Saccharomyces cerevisiae S288C: one gene and its partner. Changing the gene in region 1 together with any one later gene gives a genetic interaction. Each region holds a gene or a part of one and is shown on either strand. Other genes may lie near its edges.

Region 1 (8,546 bases):
TATTTAGATTACGCATACCTTTTTTTTTCTGCAATTGAGGCAGGATTTATTCCTACATAGTACTGCTTTTTACATTGTATTGTTTTTTTTTGTTTTTCTTTTCTCTGTTGTCGTTAAATGCATGATGATCCCCAATAACTAACCAAAACTTTAAAAGATTTTTTTAGTATCTTTTGGTGTGTTTATTTGCCTGCAATTTGTATACTTTTTTTCTCATCCTAGCTCGGCATGTAGACTTTACATATCTCGACCTGTATGAATTGTCGGTCTTGATAAGACATTCTAAAGAAAACAACACCATACTCGAACTCATGTAATAGTATATATGACTCGAGAAGAAATCAGTACATTTTTTCAGTCGCTTATGCTAAATGTCAGTGATTTTTTAATCAGTTTTTGAATCGACTACTACAGGGTATTGCGCATCCCGATTATTTGATTTCTAGTTACAAATCAACCTGTCAACAAAGAATGAGGAAATTTAAATATATATATATATTTCGGTGTGCGTTTGTGTGGAGATAAATGACTTCCCTTGACAAATTTAAAAGAAATCTCTTTTTAGAAGCATTGTATTGTAATTCCGGGTCAACAAAGTGAATTCATGATAATTTTGGCATTGTAATTTTAGCCATGTAGGGCGTAAAGGTCGAATCTTTAAATTATACCGATATCTTTATCTTGTAATGTTGACGGAAAGAGGGCAGAAAGCCATATGGCTAGGTTAGTTCCAAGAGAAGAGAGCTTCTCACAAAATTCTGCAAAAGCAGTAAGAGGAGAGTTGCTGCTTCATCAAACAAACGTGCGCTGTTTGACTTTCACATGACGACAAGGAGATAAAATATCGCGTGTTATACAGGAATAGCTGCTTTGGCAGGGAGTCAAGCCCGACTCCTAAAGAGTCTCTTCGCGGTATCTTCCTTATTCGAAGACAAGGAATATAGAGCAATGAATCTTCGGTGCTTGGATATGATGTTGTTACTGTTACGATATCTTAAATTCGGGATTAGAATTCTGGATGATAAATGGACCTGTCCTTCAGAATAGCAAAAAAGAGAATCGAGACAACGACAGGAAATACATTGTTTTAAGAACGATAGGAGATTCATGTCTATAAATTGCCTAGATTTTTCCAAGGTACTGCGTAATGTTTCTTCTGTTGGCAGCAGATCGTAAATGACATCGTAGTATAAACCGACAACGCTTGATCTATATGTAAAACCTGACGCAGTTTGATCGAAAAATGATGTTGAAGAATTTAAAAGAGTTGAAAAAGTTATCCGTGAAGTTGATATTGGTATGGATCTGTATGAGTCATCGAAGCTAATCAAGTTGGATAATCATTTTGGTATTAAATTGTACATTAAAGAACAAAGTTCGGGATTCAGCTCGCCTTCATTCAAAATTCTTGGGGCGTCTTGAGGTGTATTTTGCTGTTTGATTGGAAGATTTAGCCTGCCATTACCTAAAACTTCCTTGGATACATTGAAGCAAATTGTCAAATTCCAACACCCGTCTTTGATGCTAGCGGCTGTTACAGATGGTAATGATGGTAGAGCAGTTGCATACATGGCAAAAATCCTAGGCTTAAAGTCTACAATATTTACTCCATGGAATGTTCTAGAACAGAGCGTGAGAACATCAGATCAGAAAAGGGAGCAGAAGTTATCAAAATTAAAGGTAACTATGATTATGCAATAAAAAGTTCTTTAGAGTTTTGTAGTAGCGATCCGACAAAAAAATCAACTTATTCAAGATTTTTCATTCATAGGTTATGATGAAATTCCTAACTGGATTTCTTATGGTTACACTACCTTGTGTAGCGAAATACCATTCGATCCTGCGGTAATATTTGTCCCTTGTGGGGCTGATTCTTTTGCTCAAGGAGTGATAACATATTACAGGTCGCATAAATCGAATACGAAAGTCTTCTCGGTTGAACCAGATACCGCTTACACTGTCAATAAGTCATTGGTGTTACAAAAGGCTTCATCTGATCTAGGAACCTCTAGAACAATCATGGATGAGTTGAACTGTCCGAGGATTTCAGCAACAGCATTTCTTCTACTACAGAAAGGGGCCATCTATTTCCTGTTTAGTTTCCGATGAAGATTGTATGCAAGCAATTAAAACACTAGGCTCGCTAGGAGTAAATTCAAGTCCATGCGGAGCTGTTACGTAAGCCACGTTTATTAGATTCATTGATAAACTGAAAAACATGGGTGAGTTAAAAGTAGGTGGTAAATTTGTGTTGTTGTCTACGGAAGCTATAGGTTATCAAGGAATCTTTAACTATGGGTATTGCTGACGGCTTTGTATCGGGCTTTTGAAAAATACGATATTTCAGAGCCATATGCGCAAAAATATATGTACAACTTCTACTTTGTTGTTTCAAAATTATCCAACTAGTTGTTTTGTAGTTGAAAAAAAACGAGTATTAGCGTTCTTCTTGGCCCTTATCTTATTCTTTATTTTGCCAGCTAAGGTTATTTAAGTTGAAAGATATACATAACGTCATATAAAGTAATCTCTTTTTCAAAATGTTAATTGAAGCGATACACAGACGATGATGAATAAAATCATGTGAGTATAATTTTCCTTATAACCTTTTTTACACGACAAAACCACCGATGATGTTCTGACCTACACTTTCATAATTGCATCCGTTCACCGAGATGCATAGCACCATACGTACTTAGAGTAACCATAGCTATTTACAATAGGTAACAATATACATAGTCTATGGTAGCAGAGTGCGTACGGGCTCTTCGGTTACTGACGTAATCATATTATTTCTTAAACACCAGTGGTTATTTTGCTGCATCTCTATTACGGTATTCTTTTTATTGCTAGCATTTAGCCGCGGAGTGAGATCACATGTCATATTGATATGCCTTTCTCTACTGAATGAAATCGAACTAAAAAATCTGTAGTGTCAAGCTCAAGCCTGGTTCACAAATATTATATTCAGGAACGCAAGTAGATAAAGCAGAATCATTTCCGCTGAATAAGTACGATATACGTTTTTTCTATCTTTATACAATACAAAATTATTACTTTTCTAAATACAATGACTTCATTATGCAGTGTCATTGAAATGCATTCACAATATGGTAAGCCTCTTTATTACAATCAGACATACAGAAAAAAGAAAGATTATCTGCTTCATCATCCATAATATGATACAGCTAGAAAATTGAACCATATATTAACTGGGCAAACATTGGCTACTAGATGGTTGTCTACTCCAGCCTGCCTAAGACAAGCTATAGTCAAAAATTTCATTCATTTCTCAAACAACATTGCTTGGAAATCCAAAAAAAAAAGGAAAAAAAATCAGATTTGTAAAGGATTCAAAGAAATTTCTTCTGCGAGACGTTCAAAGCCTAACTCAAAATCCCTTTTTAAATCTTCAAATTCTTCGAGACCCACTTGTATTCTTAGTGCAAAACCTTTGTAAGGCCATGTTGAAGCTTTTCTAGCCACCCCATGAAAATCCCAATTGCAAAACTTTCATCCCTTCTACCATTTTCTCCAGACCAGCTCTTGTGAACCCATTTTTAAGGACAATGGAAAATAAGCCTGAAGAACCTTTGTAGTCACGAACCCAGTATTCATGTCCGGGACAATCTTCAAAGGCGGGGTGAAGCACTTTTTCAACCTCATCTCGATTTCCGAGCCAAGCAGCCAAATCCAGGGCTTTTCTTTCTACCTCTTTCAATCTTAAGTGCAATGTACGCATTCCTCGCAATGCTAATTGACAGTCCTCGGCACCTGGTAACATTGCCATTGCATCATAAGTTGACCGTAATAGCGGCCAACATTCTTCATTTGCGGAGGCCAGACCAATAAGAAGATCTGAATGACCACCCAAATATTTTGTCCCAGCTTCTACCGAAATATCGATACCATGCGCATGAGCATCAAAAAAGAGTGGCGTTGCCCATGTGTTGTCTAGAATTGTCTTTATCCCATGCTTTTTGGCAACAGAGACCAAAGCTGGAATATCCTGTACTTCCATGGTCCCAGAACCCGGGCTTTCGAGGAAAATGACGGTTGTATTTGGCTTAACTAGTTTTTCTATATCCTTCCCTATTGATGGGTCATAATAATCCGTTTCAACACCGAACTTGGCCAATAAACCATCACATAGCATACGTGTTGGCACGTAGACACTATCAGTCATCAAGATATGATCACCAGCTTTCGAAAGGGCCAATAGCGCCAAAGAGATAGAACCAAGCCCAGAAGCTGATAGCACTGTCCCAGCACCGCCGGTTAAATGCGTCCAGGCATTTTCTAAATTGTCAATAGTTGGAGAACCTGCTGTCCCGTAAAATCTTCCTTTCCTTTGTTCTAAATCACTAAGTTTTTTAAGAATGATGGTTGACCCCTTATACAAAGGTGGATTAACAAAGCCACTTTGTTCATCTGGATTACGTCCAATAACAGACAGTTGCGTAGTAATACCAAACTTCGATAACTCGGTACGATCAATCATTGTAGTGAATATTTTGGTTTTTGCTGGAATTTTATATTCACAGTTTCGAAACACGTTAAGTATTTTTTCATTGTGGTGTCCCAACACTAGAGCAGTCTTTCTTTTTATATGTCCTTGTCTTCTATATTTTTATCAAGGAATATTTAGCACTGATGAGCAAATTGGCACTTTCAACATTATTTGGATGCTACGGCGCCTTACAATTGAGTTGATTATACGGAATTTGAATGCCGAAAAAGAACGTTAAAAAAATATACTCAAAACAAGAGGCGACAATAAAATCGTTATCAATTTTTTTATCACTTTATGAATGTTAGATACGGATTGAAAAAAAATGCTTATCTTTCCGATCTTGATTGCCTTTTTTATTTTCGAGAATAATTCTTTTTTTCAGGTTCATGGCACATTTTTCAGGAAAACTTGGGTTCACCTCGAGCGTGAATATGGTGTGCTAAACTTTAAAAATTTCAGAACAAAGAGACTCTCCAGTTTCATCAGGAGCCTTTTGGAGTAAAAGGACGTTCACTCTTGCCAAGTAAAAAAAACGGTTATGCCATAATCTTAATCAAGCTACACGCAACATTCAAGAGACCAGTGGCTGAGTCACAATATTCTCGGAAGCTAAATCTTAAATCCGGGCTGGTGTAAGTTGTTGGTGAGTAATGGTGGAAAGTTTGGAACTTTTCTCATACGACAATTTTTGAACACGCAATGCCTATGTATACGCCTTGCGCCTAATAGTGCTCCCTATGTGTCGATCTGACCCATAGTATCGCAGTTTCTAATTTTGTGATAGAGGTTCTGGTTATAAGCAAGAAAAGTTTATACTGCTGGGCGCCGCCTAGCATCATTGTCTGCTTTCCAAAGGCATGGAAGGCGGCGGCAGTGTAATATTACCGCGTTATCGCAGACCTAGGGAGAATGTAATTTCTCACGTGTTCCTTTAGCAGCATATTTTTTACTTTTTAAAATAGAAAACAATGAGCCGGCATACCTATGACCTGCGCTCCACCTCATATGGAAACTGAAAGTACGTTTTTTTCTCTCTATATAACACAACTCAGCATCTTAGTCTTTAAAAATGGTTATTCATGGAATGATCAATAATGCACTTAACTGGTGAGGCTACTTTAAGGTCAATTAAGTTAGTAACGTTTCTTTTCATGTTTTCACTCGCCCTCTCTTTTAAATGATTCTTTTGTACTCTATAATTCATTAAAAGATGTTCCTCTTCTTTTTATTCGGAGATATTTTGGTAAATTTACTACAGTTTCCTTTCAGAAGATAGCGATGCCGTACGGCACAGGCGGTGTACATCTATGAGAAATTTGCAGATTAGCCTAGGCCTCTATTGCACTTATGTATATATATCTGACGTGAAAGTTCAGCGCAACAAGGAATGAAGGCAACGTGTCATTCAAATACAGTGGGAAGTCTACACTAATAGCTATGCGGTTTAAATTGCTTAGAATCCATAGCATTGTGGCACTATTAACGAGAGGTAGAGATTGGTATTGAAGGTACACATAACTCGATACTTTCCACCTTTCTCATCAGGAAATATTATTATTACTGTATATACTTTTATGCAAATCCAATTGCCCTGTTAAAAGTCACTATGGGTTGCCGGTATCAATTCTAGTATACACATGGTAATAAATCCGTAGAAGGGCCGACATGTACTACATTCTGTATATATCTCAAGCGTTAAGTGATATAACGATCGTGTTCTTATTTCGCATAAAGTTGTCAAGACCATGAGACAGGTCCTATAGAGGTAGTTTTGTTGATATTTGGGTATTTTCTCTTTTTCAAATCTTTTACCTTTATTTTGCATATTGTACATTCTCATAATAGGGACAAGAATATCCCAAGACAGAAATACGAAGCTAGCAGGTAAAGTACATAAAAACTTACACTAGCGTCAAGAATAACGTGCATTTAATTTTTTTTTTTTTTGGAACTCCTATATACGTAGACTAGAATATGCATAAAGAACTTTAAATATCTAGAACTCACGTTATGATATATTCTTACAGGCCATAAAAAAAATCAAGTCTTGTTTGTATAATCATTAGTTACCGGTGTAAGAAATTGCTGTATTTGTCATATTTGTTAGCTGCTTCCCTTCATTAAGCGATAATATTTCGGACATTATAACGGCATCATTGGCTATGATATACACGAAATACAACCAGCTTCGGTAAAGTATGTATTATTTAGTGATACAGGGCAAAACATGCATGAGAATATGAAGATTTTATTGTGTTGGTAAATTTGAAAGTATTCATATAGAGTATGATTAGGGGTTATTAACATATAAACACCAATGCAAAGCGCCATACAAGTCAGAATATGTCGATTTTTTAAATTAGAGCATTATTCCGCGGACAACACGCAATTAGAGAGACACAGTCTGATAATAAAGTACAAGAAGGGCACACTCCGGTAGTAGAATTCTTTCTTTGCGCGTGAAATATTTGAAACTAATCATTGTATGCCATTCGTTTTCTTATTATCATATATATTTTTCGGTCGCTAAGTTTCCGTCAAAAAAATTTGACTCAATAGTCATCTCCTCTTTCCTTTTTCGAAACTATCAGAAGTGACCATTACTACTAAGATTTGTAATTTAAGATTAAATAAATTCTTCCAGAAAATTTTTCTTGCATGATTGTGCATACGCTTCTCTCGACTGTTTGTTTGGTCTCCTTGTAATATTACGATTATTTTTACTTCCGTTTTATATGTTTCATTATCCTATTACATCACCAACCCTTGAATTTCGCTTCCATTAGATTTGATGACTGTTTCTCATACCTAATGTCATTTTCTTACACTGTATGTGATAATGTACTAGTAACACGATACTACTAAACAGATGATATTTTAGAGTTTCATTCCAACAACTTCAATGCTTCCAATTTATTTCCCCTCATGATAAAACAAGATCTCAGCTTCATTGTATTTGCCTTCTTTTTTTCTTCGAAGCCATTACGTGCGCATTGACGCTGCACTGTCCAAAAAAAACCTTAATTCTAATTTGATTGATTTTCCTTTCCCTTGTTTTTTGCAACTCCATGTATTAATAAAAGAAAAGCCAGGGTATCTTCTGTGAGTAAACTAACGTTTCATACCTTCTGTACGTATTAAGAAATATAATTTCTTCTGTAGCTTGGCATATACTGCAACAAGTCCGTAATTTGTCTTCTATTTGAACTTCTAGCAGCTGAAGATTCTACAAAAGTTTTTCTTTTGCCTTTCGGAATTACGCTTTTGAGGTAAGTAGGTTTCTATGTAAGTGACCTTATTCAGATTCAGAAGAACACTTTGTAGTTTAAAGCTTCTTTTAAAATTTCTAATGCCACTAAACTCTCTATCGGTTGCGCCATAGTCGAGTTTTATTTTACCATTACGTTTTTCTTCCTTTCTTTTTCAATTCAACCAATAAAGCCTCCTGCAACTTTCCTGTATTTCAAAGTTTCGATGTAGGCTTGGTGGTGAACATCAAGATGAGTGAATTGAAAATAAAAATCTCAATCAAACCCATTGAAGCTTTTGCAATTCTAATTAAACGTGCACAGATCTTTTCCATCACGCTAACACATGATAAAAACTTCGTGTAGATCTTTTCGATGAAGAAATCAAATATTGAGAAGAGTGCGTATATAATCAATTAAGAAAAGTAACAAAGGTTGACGTGACTTTACTATAAGTGTATAATACCACTTAGACCGGAATGTCATCTTCCCGGTACTATTGATTGAAGTTTTTGCCTACTGAGTCTGTTTTAATCTTGAACAGCCAAAAATAATCCAATTGTCAATGAGCAGGTTGATTTTTATTACGCTAGTCTTGATGGACATTGTTTTGGCTTTAGACATCATAGAAAAGAGCAAAACAGTTACTGTCTCGACGAATTACCATGAAAAGCTCACCATCGAAAAAGATGTTTATTTAAGTCTCGTAGGTAGCTTTCACAACTTCTATTCTGATATGAAAGTAAACGGTGGTCTCTGTGTGTGTACGGATGATTCATCTATTA
Region 2 (3,054 bases), on another chromosome or scaffold:
TAGAGGTATGCATATAGTTTTTATAATTGATTCAATGAATTTTTTGTTATCGTTTTTAATTTCGAGTAATTTCAGGTAACCAATAAAGGATAAGATCACTTTCCAATCGTTCAAGTTCTGAAAATCATTAGAGCTGGAAGTTAATCCCATTTCCTTCGGCAAATTGGCAGGTATTCGCAAATGAGCTAATTGGTTAATTTTCAACGAATTCTTGATAAGCCAGCTTATCGAGTCCATGTTCACTACTCGAGCTCGATCTAAGTTATGAATGTAATTGAAGTTTTTGTTCATTATATTAAACTGATTGAAATTCGTAAATGTTATTGTAAGCATCTTATTAATTTCCAAGTGAATGAGCTGTTCACCCAATTTTTGTAAAGTTTCGTTTCTTGTTTCAAATGTATTTCCTGTGCTCAAGTCTCCAGTCATTGGTACTCGTACCAACATATTCCTGCTTGTGGTATATAGCAGTTTAGTTAGTTCTTTAGTCGGTATGCGTTCCTTTCCTTTATATCCGTCAGGATTAACTTCAAGGACTTCACACAGTTTTTCTATCTTACTAATATTCTTTTTCGTCACCGTGTTTATAGTTCTGATGGGAATATACCTGCGAATCCCAGATATTCGAGCAACAGTAGTTGCAAACACTTTTGTCCTCAACATGTCGAGATTCATTATCTGATTTATTCTTTTATCCTGCTATAAAGAAACCATAGAAGAATAGAAGCAAAGGGGTAGTACGTGGCACCTCCTAAAGGTAATATTGTACTATTCCTAGTTCACTCAAGGTCTGCCTGTCTTATTCTCCACATACATTTTCTATAACTCTTTTTTTAAGTTTGTTTTTATTTTAGTTTGACACTACATAAATATGTAAAACTATTTTTTCAAATTATACAAATAGAAAATTATGATAAAGGTCAAAAAGAAAGAAAAGAATGACTTGTCTGTTTTCCTTCCCTACAAACTCTTGCAAAAGTAATCAATCGAGGCCAGCACAGAAAAAAAATAAAAGATAAATAAATAGGAATAAGAATATAATGCGAAAAACAATAGTGGTCAGGTTCGGTCAGTTCTCTTGCTTTTTCCTCTCAGCTAGCTCTGCGTAGAACTTCTCTCTCTTGTTAATCTTATCCATGTGGAATCCCCACCACCAGTAAGAGGCCATGACACCCCCGAGGGAGAACCCGAGGACGATGTCCATGATGACTCTTCTCTTGATCGTACCAGTAATTGGAGCAATAGTCATGTCTGTGTAAGTCGCTTGTAGTTAGTAGTTTGCAAATATCTTGCTTGCTCTAATTCTCGGTCCTAATTTTCCCTGAAGATAAGAGTCTCTTTCATCGATTCTTTTAATACCACAGGAACAAAGCGGGCATCGTGGTAGCGGGCCAATCAGGTTGCAGTAAATGAAGAGATATAGAGGAGGACTCTGCTAAAGACCATAACAAGGGTCTGCAATGATCTTGGACTAAATAAAGGTGTCTTACAATCCAAAAGAGCTTGAATCATTCCTTTTATGAGCTAAATAGCACCGTTTGCACCTTCTGATAACGCTTTACGGGTCACGCGCGGATTTTGACTCACATAATTCCACTTGCCCATATAAAGAGGGACTCATATGATCTTATGAAATCTTCCTTCAAGCAATTGTGAGACAACAGACGCACAAGGAAGATCGCCCAGCATGAGTATGTTATCTAGAAGATTATTTTCCACCTCTCGCCTTGCTGCTTTCAGTAAGATTAAGGTCAAACAACCCGTTGTCGAGTTGGACGGTGATGAAATGACCCGTATCATTTGGGATAAGATCAAGAAGAAATTGATTCTACCCTACTTGGACGTAGATTTGAAGTACTACGACTTATCTGTCGAATCTCGTGACGCCACCTCCGACAAGATTACTCAGGATGCTGCTGAGGCGATCAAGAAGTATGGTGTTGGTATCAAATGTGCCACCATCACTCCTGATGAAGCTCGTGTGAAGGAATTCAACCTGCACAAGATGTGGAAATCTCCTAATGGTACCATCAGAAACATTCTCGGCGGTACAGTGTTCAGAGAGCCCATTGTGATTCCTAGAATTCCTAGACTGGTCCCACGTTGGGAAAAACCAATCATTATTGGAAGACACGCCCACGGTGATCAATATAAAGCTACGGACACACTGATCCCAGGCCCAGGATCTTTGGAACTGGTCTACAAGCCATCCGACCCTACGACTGCTCAACCACAAACTTTGAAAGTGTATGACTACAAGGGCAGTGGTGTGGCCATGGCCATGTACAATACTGACGAATCCATCGAAGGGTTTGCTCATTCGTCTTTCAAGCTGGCCATTGACAAAAAGCTAAATCTTTTCTTGTCAACCAAGAACACTATTTTGAAGAAATATGACGGTCGGTTCAAAGACATTTTCCAAGAAGTTTATGAAGCTCAATATAAATCCAAATTCGAACAACTAGGGATCCACTATGAACACCGTTTAATTGATGATATGGTCGCTCAAATGATAAAATCTAAAGGTGGCTTTATCATGGCGCTAAAGAACTATGACGGTGATGTCCAATCTGACATCGTCGCTCAAGGATTTGGCTCCTTAGGTTTGATGACTTCTATCTTAGTTACACCAGACGGTAAAACTTTCGAAAGTGAAGCTGCTCATGGTACCGTGACAAGACATTATAGAAAGTACCAAAAGGGTGAAGAAACTTCTACAAACTCCATTGCATCCATTTTCGCGTGGTCGAGAGGTCTATTGAAGAGAGGTGAATTGGACAATACTCCTGCTTTGTGTAAATTTGCCAATATTTTGGAATCCGCCACTTTGAACACAGTTCAGCAAGACGGTATCATGACGAAGGACTTGGCTTTGGCTTGCGGTAACAACGAAAGATCTGCTTATGTTACCACAGAAGAATTTTTGGATGCCGTTGAAAAAAGACTACAAAAAGAAATCAAGTCGATCGAGTAATCGAATTTACGTAGCCCAATCTACCACTTTTTTTTTTCATTTTTTAAAGTGTTATACTTAGTTATGCTCTAGGATAATGA

What was found.
Region 2: mutations in IRC7 (region 1) and COX9 together harm fitness more than expected from each alone (negative genetic interaction), as found in Saccharomyces cerevisiae (one large-scale study listed by BioGRID).

What each region holds. Positions count from the first base shown.
Region 1 is NC_001138.5:260,159-268,704, reverse strand, and holds IRC7 (cysteine-S-conjugate beta-lyase IRC7), read right to left. Parts: upstream 4,502-8,546; coding exon 3,479-4,501; downstream 1-3,478.
Region 2 is NC_001136.10:333,148-336,201, forward strand, and holds COX9 (cytochrome c oxidase subunit VIIa), read right to left. Parts: upstream 1,250-3,054; coding exon 1,070-1,249; downstream 1-1,069. Other genes in the region: CBS1 (Cbs1p), read right to left, coding at 1-663; isocitrate dehydrogenase (NADP(+)) IDP1, read left to right, coding at 1,688-2,974. UniProt on the Saccharomyces cerevisiae protein: Component of the cytochrome c oxidase, the last enzyme in the mitochondrial electron transport chain which drives oxidative phosphorylation.